Linked DNA regions of Cricetulus griseus. The protein of the gene in region 1 interacts with the protein of each later gene in a biochemical or structural test. Links are inferred from orthologs where the notes say so. Each region holds a gene or a part of one and is shown on either strand. Other genes may lie near its edges.

Region 1 (2,583 bases):
AAAAGAGCAGGGGAGGCTATTACCATGGAGGCTTTGGGTAGCTTTGAGCTCCTCGACACAGCATGCAGAATTATTGGAGCAGGGGTTGAGGTGTCCCTGTGTTTCCCTAGGATGGGATCCATTGTTTTAGCAAGTTCCCAGAGGATTTATAAAGGTGAAAATCTTAGAAAGCATGCCTTCAGGGAGTCTGTAGCTAGAATACAGTTGTTCCTGGCAAAGAGAGTTGTGAGTCAGGCTACCAAAGGAAACTTTCATCTTCCTTTCTCAAGGTACGGACTAGGGGCCTTGGCCCAAGCCTCATCTGGGTGGTGGCCTCCTTTCGGCTTTTAGGAATCAGGTTCTTGGTCCAATTAGGACCTGTTAGTAAATGTCCTTGTTGCCCACTCTGTACACATGTGTTCTTTGGAAACGTCAGATAAGCCTCTGTATTAGCCGTCTCTGGCTGCTGATAGTGTGAGCAGGGAGACTGTTATAACCGAAGACAGTGAGCACATTTTGGAATAAAGGCATTCAACTGAGCCCTTCACATGCCTGCTGGATGTCTGAGCCAGCCTTGGGCATGAGCCCCCCTGGGGGGGGTTATTGCCAGTGGTTTTTGCTAGTTTCACTAGTATGGGTGTCTGGGGTACACCTAGTCCAGGGAGCAGCTGATGGATGCATTTACTCTCCCTTTCTGTAGGCCGATACAAAATAGGGGAAAAAGAACCAGATCCCAAGACGTGGAAGGCAAATTTCCGTTGTGCCATGAACTCCCTGCCAGACATTGAGGAAGTGAAGGACCAGAGCAGGAACAAGGGCAGCTCGGCTGTACGAGTGTACCGGATGCTGCCACCCCTCACTAAGAACCAGAGGAAAGGTAACCAAGGGCACTGGGTCCTCAGAAGGAAGGGAAGAAGGGTGGAAGGAAGATCGGCTAGGGCTCATGGCCTGTTTGCCCCACAGAGAGAAAATCCAAGTCCAGCCGAGACACTAAGAGCAAGGCCAAGAGGAAGGTGAGTGTGGCTCTGTGTGGCCCAGCCTTTGGTCACCTTAGGTAGGGTGGGCAGTGAAGAGCACTGCAACAGGCCTAAGCTGTCTTCTCTCCACAGCTATACGGAGATGCTAGTCCTGACACCTCCGATGGACTCAGCAGCTCCACTCTGCCTGATGACCACAGCAGCTATACCACTCAGAGCTACCTGGGTCAGGACTTGGACTTGGAGCAGGACCTTACCCCAGGTGAGGATGCCAATCTGGCAAGAGAGCTCATAGGTTGGGTCCAAGAGGCACTGTGGTAGCAGAGAGTAGCCTGTTAGAGCAGGTTGCAGGGTGGAGGTGCCGATTTATGGCAGATTAAGAAAGCATGCCATCAGCCAGGTGGTGGTGGAGTATGCCTTTAATCTCAGCACTTGGGTGGCATAGGCAGGCAGATCTCTATGAGTTCAAGGCCAGCCTGGTCTCCAGAGCCAGTGCCAGAATAGGCTCCAAAGCTACACAGAGAAACCCTGTCTCGAAAAACCAGAAGAAAAAAAAAAAGAAAGCAAGCATGCCATCCTGACCTGTGCTTTGTACCCTCCTGTAGCTCTGTCACCATGTGTTGTCAGCAGCAGTCTCCCTGAGTGGCACATGCAGATGGACATTGTGCCAGACAGTACCAACGATCTGTATAACTTGCAGGTGTCGCCCATGCCCTCCACCTCTGAAGGTTTGTACCCTTTGGGCCTGGCCTGCCTCTGTTTGTGTTTGGCTCTGCAGGGGAAGTAGATGCTTAGAAATGTGCGTGCCATTGAGCTGATGGAGCTGGAACTGGGAACTGCTTAACCCAGCCCCCATAGCATGAAACAAGCCCATGGGACGCAAGACAGTTTAGAGCCTTTGTGTGCTCCAGGCCAGGAGGGAGGCAATCAGGCCACGGCCACATCTTGGTCAAAGGTGGCTAGTGCTCCTGGCTTCTCTGCCCTCAGTTGTCTGAGGTGAGGAAGGAAGTAAAGGGGTGGGATACAGCCTTGCTCCATGGTTGGGGAGGGTGAGTCATCAGGCCAGTGTCCTGTTCTGGAACCTCCAGGGCAGGCAAGATGCTGGTTGGAAGGCTGGGTGGGGGGCTTGGGGTTGGAGCTGGTGGGGTGGAACTTCAGGGCAAACATGTATAGCTAACCTCTGCCCTTCCTCACAGCTGCTACAGATGAGGATGAGGAAGGGAAGTTACCCGAGGACATCGTGAAGGTAAATCCTTTTCCATGCCGCATCTGTGAAGGGAGAGCAAGCTAGGGAAAGCTTCCAAATCAGTGTGGGCAGGTGCTGTTGTCACTTGGCTGCATAGCCCCACAAGTACCACCCCCCATCCCCACCCCCCCTACCTCCCACCCCCCCCACCTCCCACCCCCGTGTGTTGGGGGGACTGCTGCCTGGGCAGGTGAGATGCCTAGTCTCTAGCAGGCCATCCTGAAGCAAGCCTCAGGGTCCCAGACAGCTCTGAGTCAGCCCCCATCAGCACTGTGTCCTCCGCCCCAGCTTGCCCAGCCCATTCCCAGTTTGGGAAATGCACATCAGGTTTCAATAATCAGCTTTTGGGATCTCTACTAAGATGACTAAAAAAAAAAAATC
Region 2 (3,654 bases), on another chromosome or scaffold:
AGCATACTGCCAACGGAGTATACATATCCTTAGTTCCTCGTTTCTTCATCCTTCTTTTTGCTGTACTGGGGACTGAATCCAGGGACTTGAACAGGCTTAGCAAACACTGCTGTACCTCTGGGCTATTTCCTCAGTCAGTCCTTTGGCTATTTTCTTCTTTTTCTATCATTCTTTGGCTATTCACTATGCTTCCTTCTGTCATCACCATGTCTCCAATTACTGACTTTCCCATATATATTGTTTTGTTTTTGGTTTTTTTTTGTTTTTTTTTGGTTTTTCGAGACAGGGTTTCTCTGTGGCTTTGGAGACTGTCCTGGAACTAGCTCTTGTAGACCAGGCTGGTCTCGAACTCACAGACATCTGCCTGCCTCTGCCTCCCAAGTGCTGGGATTAAAGGCATGTGCCACCAACACCCAGCCAAACATATATATATATGTATAATATATATGCTATATTATATATTTTTATGGTGGAAACTCCACCCAAGGCTCCTCCCCTATCTCCAAACCCTGCTGCATTTCATAAAGCCTGCCAAATGATGACCCTCCCCCAGAGAAGCTCAAGACCCCTCCCACAGGGTATTTAAACTGCCCCCTCCCCCCCAAAAAAAGACTTGTGGGTTTTCAGGTCTCCCTTCCCCTATCTCCCCTCTGGGGGACTGGTCAGAGATCTGGGAGCGTTGTATCCATTAAATGTGGGCTTTTTCTAATTCGGTTTGATTTGGTCTGGTTTGGATTGCTGCATCAGTGGAGAGGCTTATTGGGGTGTAGAAACTTTTCATATATTTATATCCGGAGCTAATGGAAGAGCAAGAGCATCTGGAGAACCATAATTAATACCATGATTAATATGAAGTTTAAACTGGTGACGGCCGGGGCTGGAGAGATGGCTCATTTGTTAAGAGCCCTGACTGTTCTTCCAGAGGACCCGGGTTCAATTCCCAGCACCCACATGGCAGTTTACAGCTGACAGCTGTCTGTAAACCCAGTTCCAGGGGATCTGATGCCTTCACACCAATACATATAAAATAAAAAGTATTACAACAAAACAAAACAAAACTGGTTACAGCCAAGAGTAGTGGTTAAGGATATCCTTAATTCCAGAACTCGGGAAGCAGAGGCAAGCTGATGCAATGTCCTTAATTTCAGACTCAGGAAGCAGAGGCAAGCTGATCTCTGCGAGTTATAGGCCAGCCTGATCTGCAAAGGGAGTTTCAGGACAGCCAGGGCTGTGTAGTGAGATCCTGTCTGGTCATGGTGATGGGGTCGGATGGGATGTTTCAATGCTAGGCATGTTGGCATTCCCCTGTAAGCCCAGCTACTCAGGAGGCTGAGGCAGGGGAACTCAGATAATAGCTTGACAGGCCACACAGGGAGTTTAAGACTGGCTTGGGGATTGGGCAATAGAGTAATCACTGCCTCAAATTAAAGCAAGCAAACAAAAAAGGCTGGGGATATAAGGCAGTCAGTGAGAGGTTCAGCACTTGCCTACAGTCCCCCATTAAGTTAGGGGGTTTGCTCAGTGGTGGAATGCTGACCTCACTTGCAGGAAGCCCTGGGCTTAATTCTCAGCACAATACACCCTCATCCATCAAAATGTATATATCTTAGTTTCTGTAACATCTAAGCGTTTATTGCTTAGGAAAAGGAATCTTTTTTTTTTTTTTTTTTTTTTTTTGAGACAGGGTTTCTCTGTGTAGCTTTGGAGCCTATCCTGACACTCACTCTGGAGACCAGGCTAACCTCAAACTCACAGAGATCTGCCTGCCTCTGCCTCTTGTTTGCTGGGATTAAAGGCATGCACCACCACTGCCCAGCAATTTCAGTATTCTTAAACAGGGAGATTATTTTTAATCTGAGTTTATCTGGTGTGTTCTAAATACATATATTGACATTTCTTGAACTTTTATTTTTGATTTTATGTATTTGGATATTTTGTTTGCTTGTTTTTTGAGACAGGGGTTCTCTGTTGTTTTGGAGCCTATCCTGGCATTCACTCTGTAGACCAGGCTGGCCTCGAACTCACAAAGATCTGCCTGCCTCTGCCTTCCGAGTGTTAGGATTAAAGGCATGCACCACCAACGCCTGGTGATTTTTCTTTCTTTTTTTTTTAATTATAATTTTATGTCCCTGGTGCTGGAGGAAGTGAGAAGAGGGCATTGGATCCCTTGGAACTGGAGTTACCGATGGCTGTGGGATACCACGCGGGTGCTTGGAATTGAACCTCTGATGCTCAGCAAGAGTTGCAAATGCTCTTAATCCTTTTGTTTGGGGCAGGGCCTCATTCTGTAGACCAGGCCAATCAGAACTCACTAAATTAACAATGTGCTTTTTTTGTCGCTGTTGTGGCAGACTATGTATCCCAACTTGACTTCACTATTTAGCACAGGCTGTCCTCGAATTCATCCTGTTCTGCCTCTGCCTCTACAGGGCTAGGATCACAGGCACCTGCCAAAGCACTGAGCTACATGCAACCCGTGTCTGTCCTGCCATGGGTCTTAGCACCGGTTTCTAGCTAGCTACAGGGCTTTTTTCATTTTGGGGGGACGGTGTCTGATAGTTACTTCTGTACTTTCTACCAATACCTATTAAAATTTTAAGTTGCACAGGGTGCGGTAATGCTCCGCATTAATCCCAGCTCTCAGGAGGCAGAGGCAGGCGGATCTCTGTGAAAATCGAGGCCAGCCTGGTCCACAGAGTGAGTTCCAGCACAGCCAGGGCTACACAGAGAAACCCTGTTTTGAAAAAGGAAAAGATTAAATTGCATTGGTTGTGGTGTGTGTATGTGTGTGTGTGTGGGGGGGGGGTGTGTGGTGAGTGCACACGCATGCACAGGAACCTAGGACAACCTGAGGGAGGGAGTTGGTTCTTTCCTTCCACTTTGTGGAAGGATTAATGATTAAACTAATAGGGTCAGGGTGGGTTGCAAGCGCCTCTGTTCGCTGAGCCATTTCCTCGGCCTCCATCGCCCCTCTCCCGCCGCTCACCCCCATCCCGTGCCCTGGTTCTGCTGGGCTGGTGCTGCAACCTAGGGCTCTGCACAGGACAGGCGAGCAAGCGTTCTGCCCCTCTTTCAAACCCCCAGGCCCCACCATTATCTACTTTGATCTTGCGTCTGGTACCCTAATATCTGCTCCGGGCCTAGGTAGCCTTAGTTCACAGGCCCCTTACCCTGGAGATCCCGGGGCCAGCTATGGGTGGGGCTGTGAAATACTCCCCAAATACTTCTACGGGACGCCCACACTTCCCCCCATCCCCCCCCCCGTGCTTGCTTCTCCAGCCTGCAGATTATGCCCTCCTTTTTGGAGGTAGGAAGTGAGAGTCCAGGCGCTGGGTCTGGTGGGGGCGTGGCCCGCTGGAGGGTGAGCGCTGAGCTGCGGGAGGAAGGAACAAAGGCTGGGGCGGGGACAAAGCCCCGGGCCCCCAGACGGATTGGGAACAAAGGCCACACCCGGGACAGTGGCGGGACACTCACTCCTCGCCTCTCCATTGCCACGTGGGGGACACCTGGTTCCCCAGCGAGGTGGCAGCTTCCTGCTGTTTAGAACCCTGGACCTGCCAGCGTGCAGCAGTCCAGACCTAGGGTGCACACCGAGGGTGCTCATGGCACTACACGAGGCGGCAGGGGCGATCGCCCTCAGCACGGGGCTGGGGC
Region 3 (3,112 bases), on another chromosome or scaffold:
ACGCACCATGTACACAGCGAGTTCGAGAGCTTCCCTGAGAACCACTTCACGGAGCTGCAGAGTGTGCAGGCCCCGCAGCTGCAGCAGCTCTACCGTCACATGGAGCTGGAACAGATGCACGTCCTCGATACCCCCATGGCACCGCCCCACGCCAGCCTCAGCCACCAGGTGCGTGCCGCTGGCTGTCCTCTGTCCCCTGGACCTCCAGGCCTGTGGTGAGGCATGGAAGCTTCACAGGAAGCTGACATAGGCTCTTACTCAACGTGGCTTCCTGCTCCACAGAGCCAACGGCAGCTGGTACCCCAACGGCTGTGCTGACCTCCTGACTGACCTTGTGAACCTACACCTTTATCTCACAGAGGATGGACAGACCCCATGTGACCCCCAGCACTCAGCCGCCTTTCCCACCCATTCCTGTTTGTGGGCCCTTAGGGTCCCACTGACTATAGTCCCCATTTACTCTCTTCACCATCTCAGCATCTGAGTCACTGAATGCTAGCCTCTACCGACCTTCTGGCTCCCCATTAATCTTCATTACTGACTGTCCCCTGCTCCAGGGACCCTAACCCCAGCCAGCGACGTCTGCCACCCCCTCACTGACTTCCACTGCCTTGTCATTGACTCATCACTCTCTTATTAAGCCCCACTCACTTCCTTATAACCATCTCACTGTTCCCCAGAACTCCTCTATTCCTAGTCCACTGTCAGGCCAAATGGCCCCTTGGCGTACATGAGAATAAAGCATACCTCTGCCTGCCCTAAACCAGAGGCTGCAGTGGGAAGGGTGGTAGGCTCAATAACTAGCAGCCCGTTGCACCATGACCTGCATCCCTGAGTTTTGGTCCAGACTAGCCTCTAGTTTTCCCTTCTCAGTTTTCCTGCCCCTGCCGGCCACACCCCAGCACTCCTTCTCTCACTCAGCCCACCCCTGCTGCAGCTCTGGGCTACCCCTTCTTGACTTCTAGCCTTCCCTTCCCTTTGCAGGTTTCCTACATGCCCAGGATGTGCTTCCCTTATCAGTCCTTGTCCCCGGCCCACCAGCAGAGCTCAGATGAGGAGGAGGGTGAGAGGCAGAGCCCCCCATTGGAGGTGTCTGATGGAGAGGCTGATGGCTTGGAGCCTGGGCCTGGTCTTCTGCATGGGGAGACAGGTAGGGTCCAGTCCCTGATCCAGCTGATCCTAGCTGCATTTACAACCCTTGCATATCTATAGCTAAGGCCACTTGGCCCAGAAGCCATGTTTCAGAGCTGTGTGTGTGTGTGTGTGTGTGTGTGTGTGTGTGTGTGTGTGTGTGTGTGTGTGTGTGCGCGCGCATGTTTGTGGATGATTCTCTACTGCACCGGTCTCTAAGTCTGTGTTGTGAGTGAAAAGGCATCTCTTCAAAGTGTGAGGGTCTGTGTGTGGACATCAGTATTATGTGAGCGTGTGAATGGAGACTGTATGTGTATATGTGAAGGCCTGAGTGTGTATGGGCCTGTGAGTGTGGGGCTTGTGAGCATGTAAAGGCCTATGATTGTGTGAGGGCCCATGCATGTGTGTAGAGTCTGTGAGTGTGTGTGGGCCTATGAGTGTGTGATGGATTGTGAATTTGTGAGGTCTTGAGTACGTGAGGGCTTGTGAGTGTGTGAGGTATCGTAAATGTGAATGTGTGAGTGCCTATATGTGAGGGCCTGTCGATAGGCATGTGGATATGTGAGCGTAGATATAGATATATGCATGTATGCATACATGTGACATGTAGGTGCAGGGACATGTATACATAGAGGGGTGTGAACGTGAGTGGGAGTGGGTACGTGTGTGCTTGCACCTACCAGGGTCACGGGGGGGGGGGGGGCGGTTCCTGGAAAGTCCTTGTGCCCCGTCCACACCCCACCTGAGTGTCCCTCTCCTTCAGGCAGCAAGAAAAAGATTCGCCTGTACCAGTTCCTGCTGGACCTGCTGCGCAGCGGCGACATGAAGGACAGCATCTGGTGGGTGGACAAGGACAAGGGCACCTTCCAGTTCTCATCCAAGCACAAGGAGGCGCTGGCGCACCGCTGGGGCATCCAGAAGGGCAACCGCAAGAAGATGACCTACCAGAAGATGGCGCGCGCGCTGCGCAACTACGGCAAGACCGGCGAGGTGAAGAAAGTCAAGAAGAAGCTCACCTACCAGTTCAGCGGCGAGGTGCTGGGCCGCGGAAGCCTGGCCGAGCGGCGCCTCCCACCCCACTGATCTCCTGCAGAGCCCGCCAGGCCCCCGGCCCCCGCCGGCCATAGCATTAACCCCTCGCCGGGCCCGGACACAGGGAGGACATTCCCAGGGCCGAGGCAGGACTGGGGGCCCGGCCGCGCCCTCCCACGCCTGGCCCGTCCCGCCTCGCTTCGCCTCCCACCAAGACTCTAGCCCGGCCCAAGGGCCACCTGGGCCTCGGACCCCACCCGAGGGTCAGCCTGGCTTAGTGGCCACGGTGCTTCCTTGGGAGTCTGGCGTCTTTGTATATTGATTGCTCTTTTTAAGGCTCTTCCTCCCCTCACCCACCCCTACCCATTAGCCTCCCAAAGAGAAGTAAAATTATTCTCAGCTATTCTCCCAGCGCAGAGTCTCATTCAAGAGTTTTTATGTGCCTGGTCCAGGGTGCACTACCCAGTGCACAGATGTCTTTCTTCTCACTTGTGCAGAGGACATATAGCCAAAGCTGGACTGGAGACATGGGGACCATGGACACACAGAGGTTGTTTCTAGTGAAACAAGTCCCAGGCTGTTAATCAGGGCAGGGATCATATTGAAAGGCCCTGTGCAGCAGAGGCTCAAGTCTCAGTGAAGCCTGAACTCATGATCTTCTGACTTAGACACGACAAATTAGTAGTGATGGTAGTGATGACAATAGCAATAGCACAAAGTAATTAAATAACTAGTTCGATGTCACACAGCTGGGACGTGGCCACGCCGGTCCATTCCAGGGCTGTCCATCACTCCAGTGCATGGTGGAAGCTCCGCCTATCTGGAAGAGGAAATGGTTCAGTTAAGTCCAAAGCTCCAGGCACCGTGAAGTATTCTGGTCGTTGTGTTTAGGGGCCTAGCCTTTACCAGGGGAACCACCTCTCTAGCCACAAAGTTTTCTTCACAGACT

Evidence for each region.
Region 2: the proteins of Irf1 (region 1) and Trim28 form a complex in vitro, tested with the Homo sapiens proteins (2 studies listed by BioGRID). The link is inferred for Cricetulus griseus from reciprocal best matches to the Homo sapiens genes IRF1 and TRIM28.
Region 3: the proteins of Irf1 (region 1) and Spi1 form a complex in vitro, tested with the Homo sapiens proteins (2 studies listed by BioGRID). The link is inferred for Cricetulus griseus from reciprocal best matches to the Homo sapiens genes IRF1 and SPI1.

The regions. Positions count from the first base shown.
Region 1 is NC_048600.1:67,924,919-67,927,501, forward strand, and holds part of Irf1 (interferon regulatory factor 1), read left to right. Parts: intron 1-679; coding exon 680-856; intron 857-942; coding exon 943-992; intron 993-1,088; coding exon 1,089-1,218; intron 1,219-1,561; coding exon 1,562-1,684; intron 1,685-2,152; coding exon 2,153-2,202; intron 2,203-2,583. UniProt on the Homo sapiens protein: Transcriptional regulator which displays a remarkable functional diversity in the regulation of cellular responses.
Region 2 is NC_048602.1:25,608,801-25,612,454, forward strand, and holds part of Trim28 (transcription intermediary factor 1-beta), read left to right. Parts: intron 1-3,144; coding exon 3,145-3,196; intron 3,197-3,311; coding exon 3,312-3,495; intron 3,496-3,654. UniProt on the Homo sapiens protein: Nuclear corepressor for KRAB domain-containing zinc finger proteins (KRAB-ZFPs).
Region 3 is NC_048599.1:85,642,661-85,645,772, reverse strand, and holds the end of Spi1 (transcription factor PU.1), read left to right. Parts: coding exon 1-168; intron 169-984; coding exon 985-1,150; intron 1,151-1,894; coding exon 1,895-2,214; 3' UTR 2,215-2,522; downstream 2,523-3,112. UniProt on the Homo sapiens protein: Pioneer transcription factor, which controls hematopoietic cell fate by decompacting stem cell heterochromatin and allowing other transcription factors to enter otherwise inaccessible genomic sites.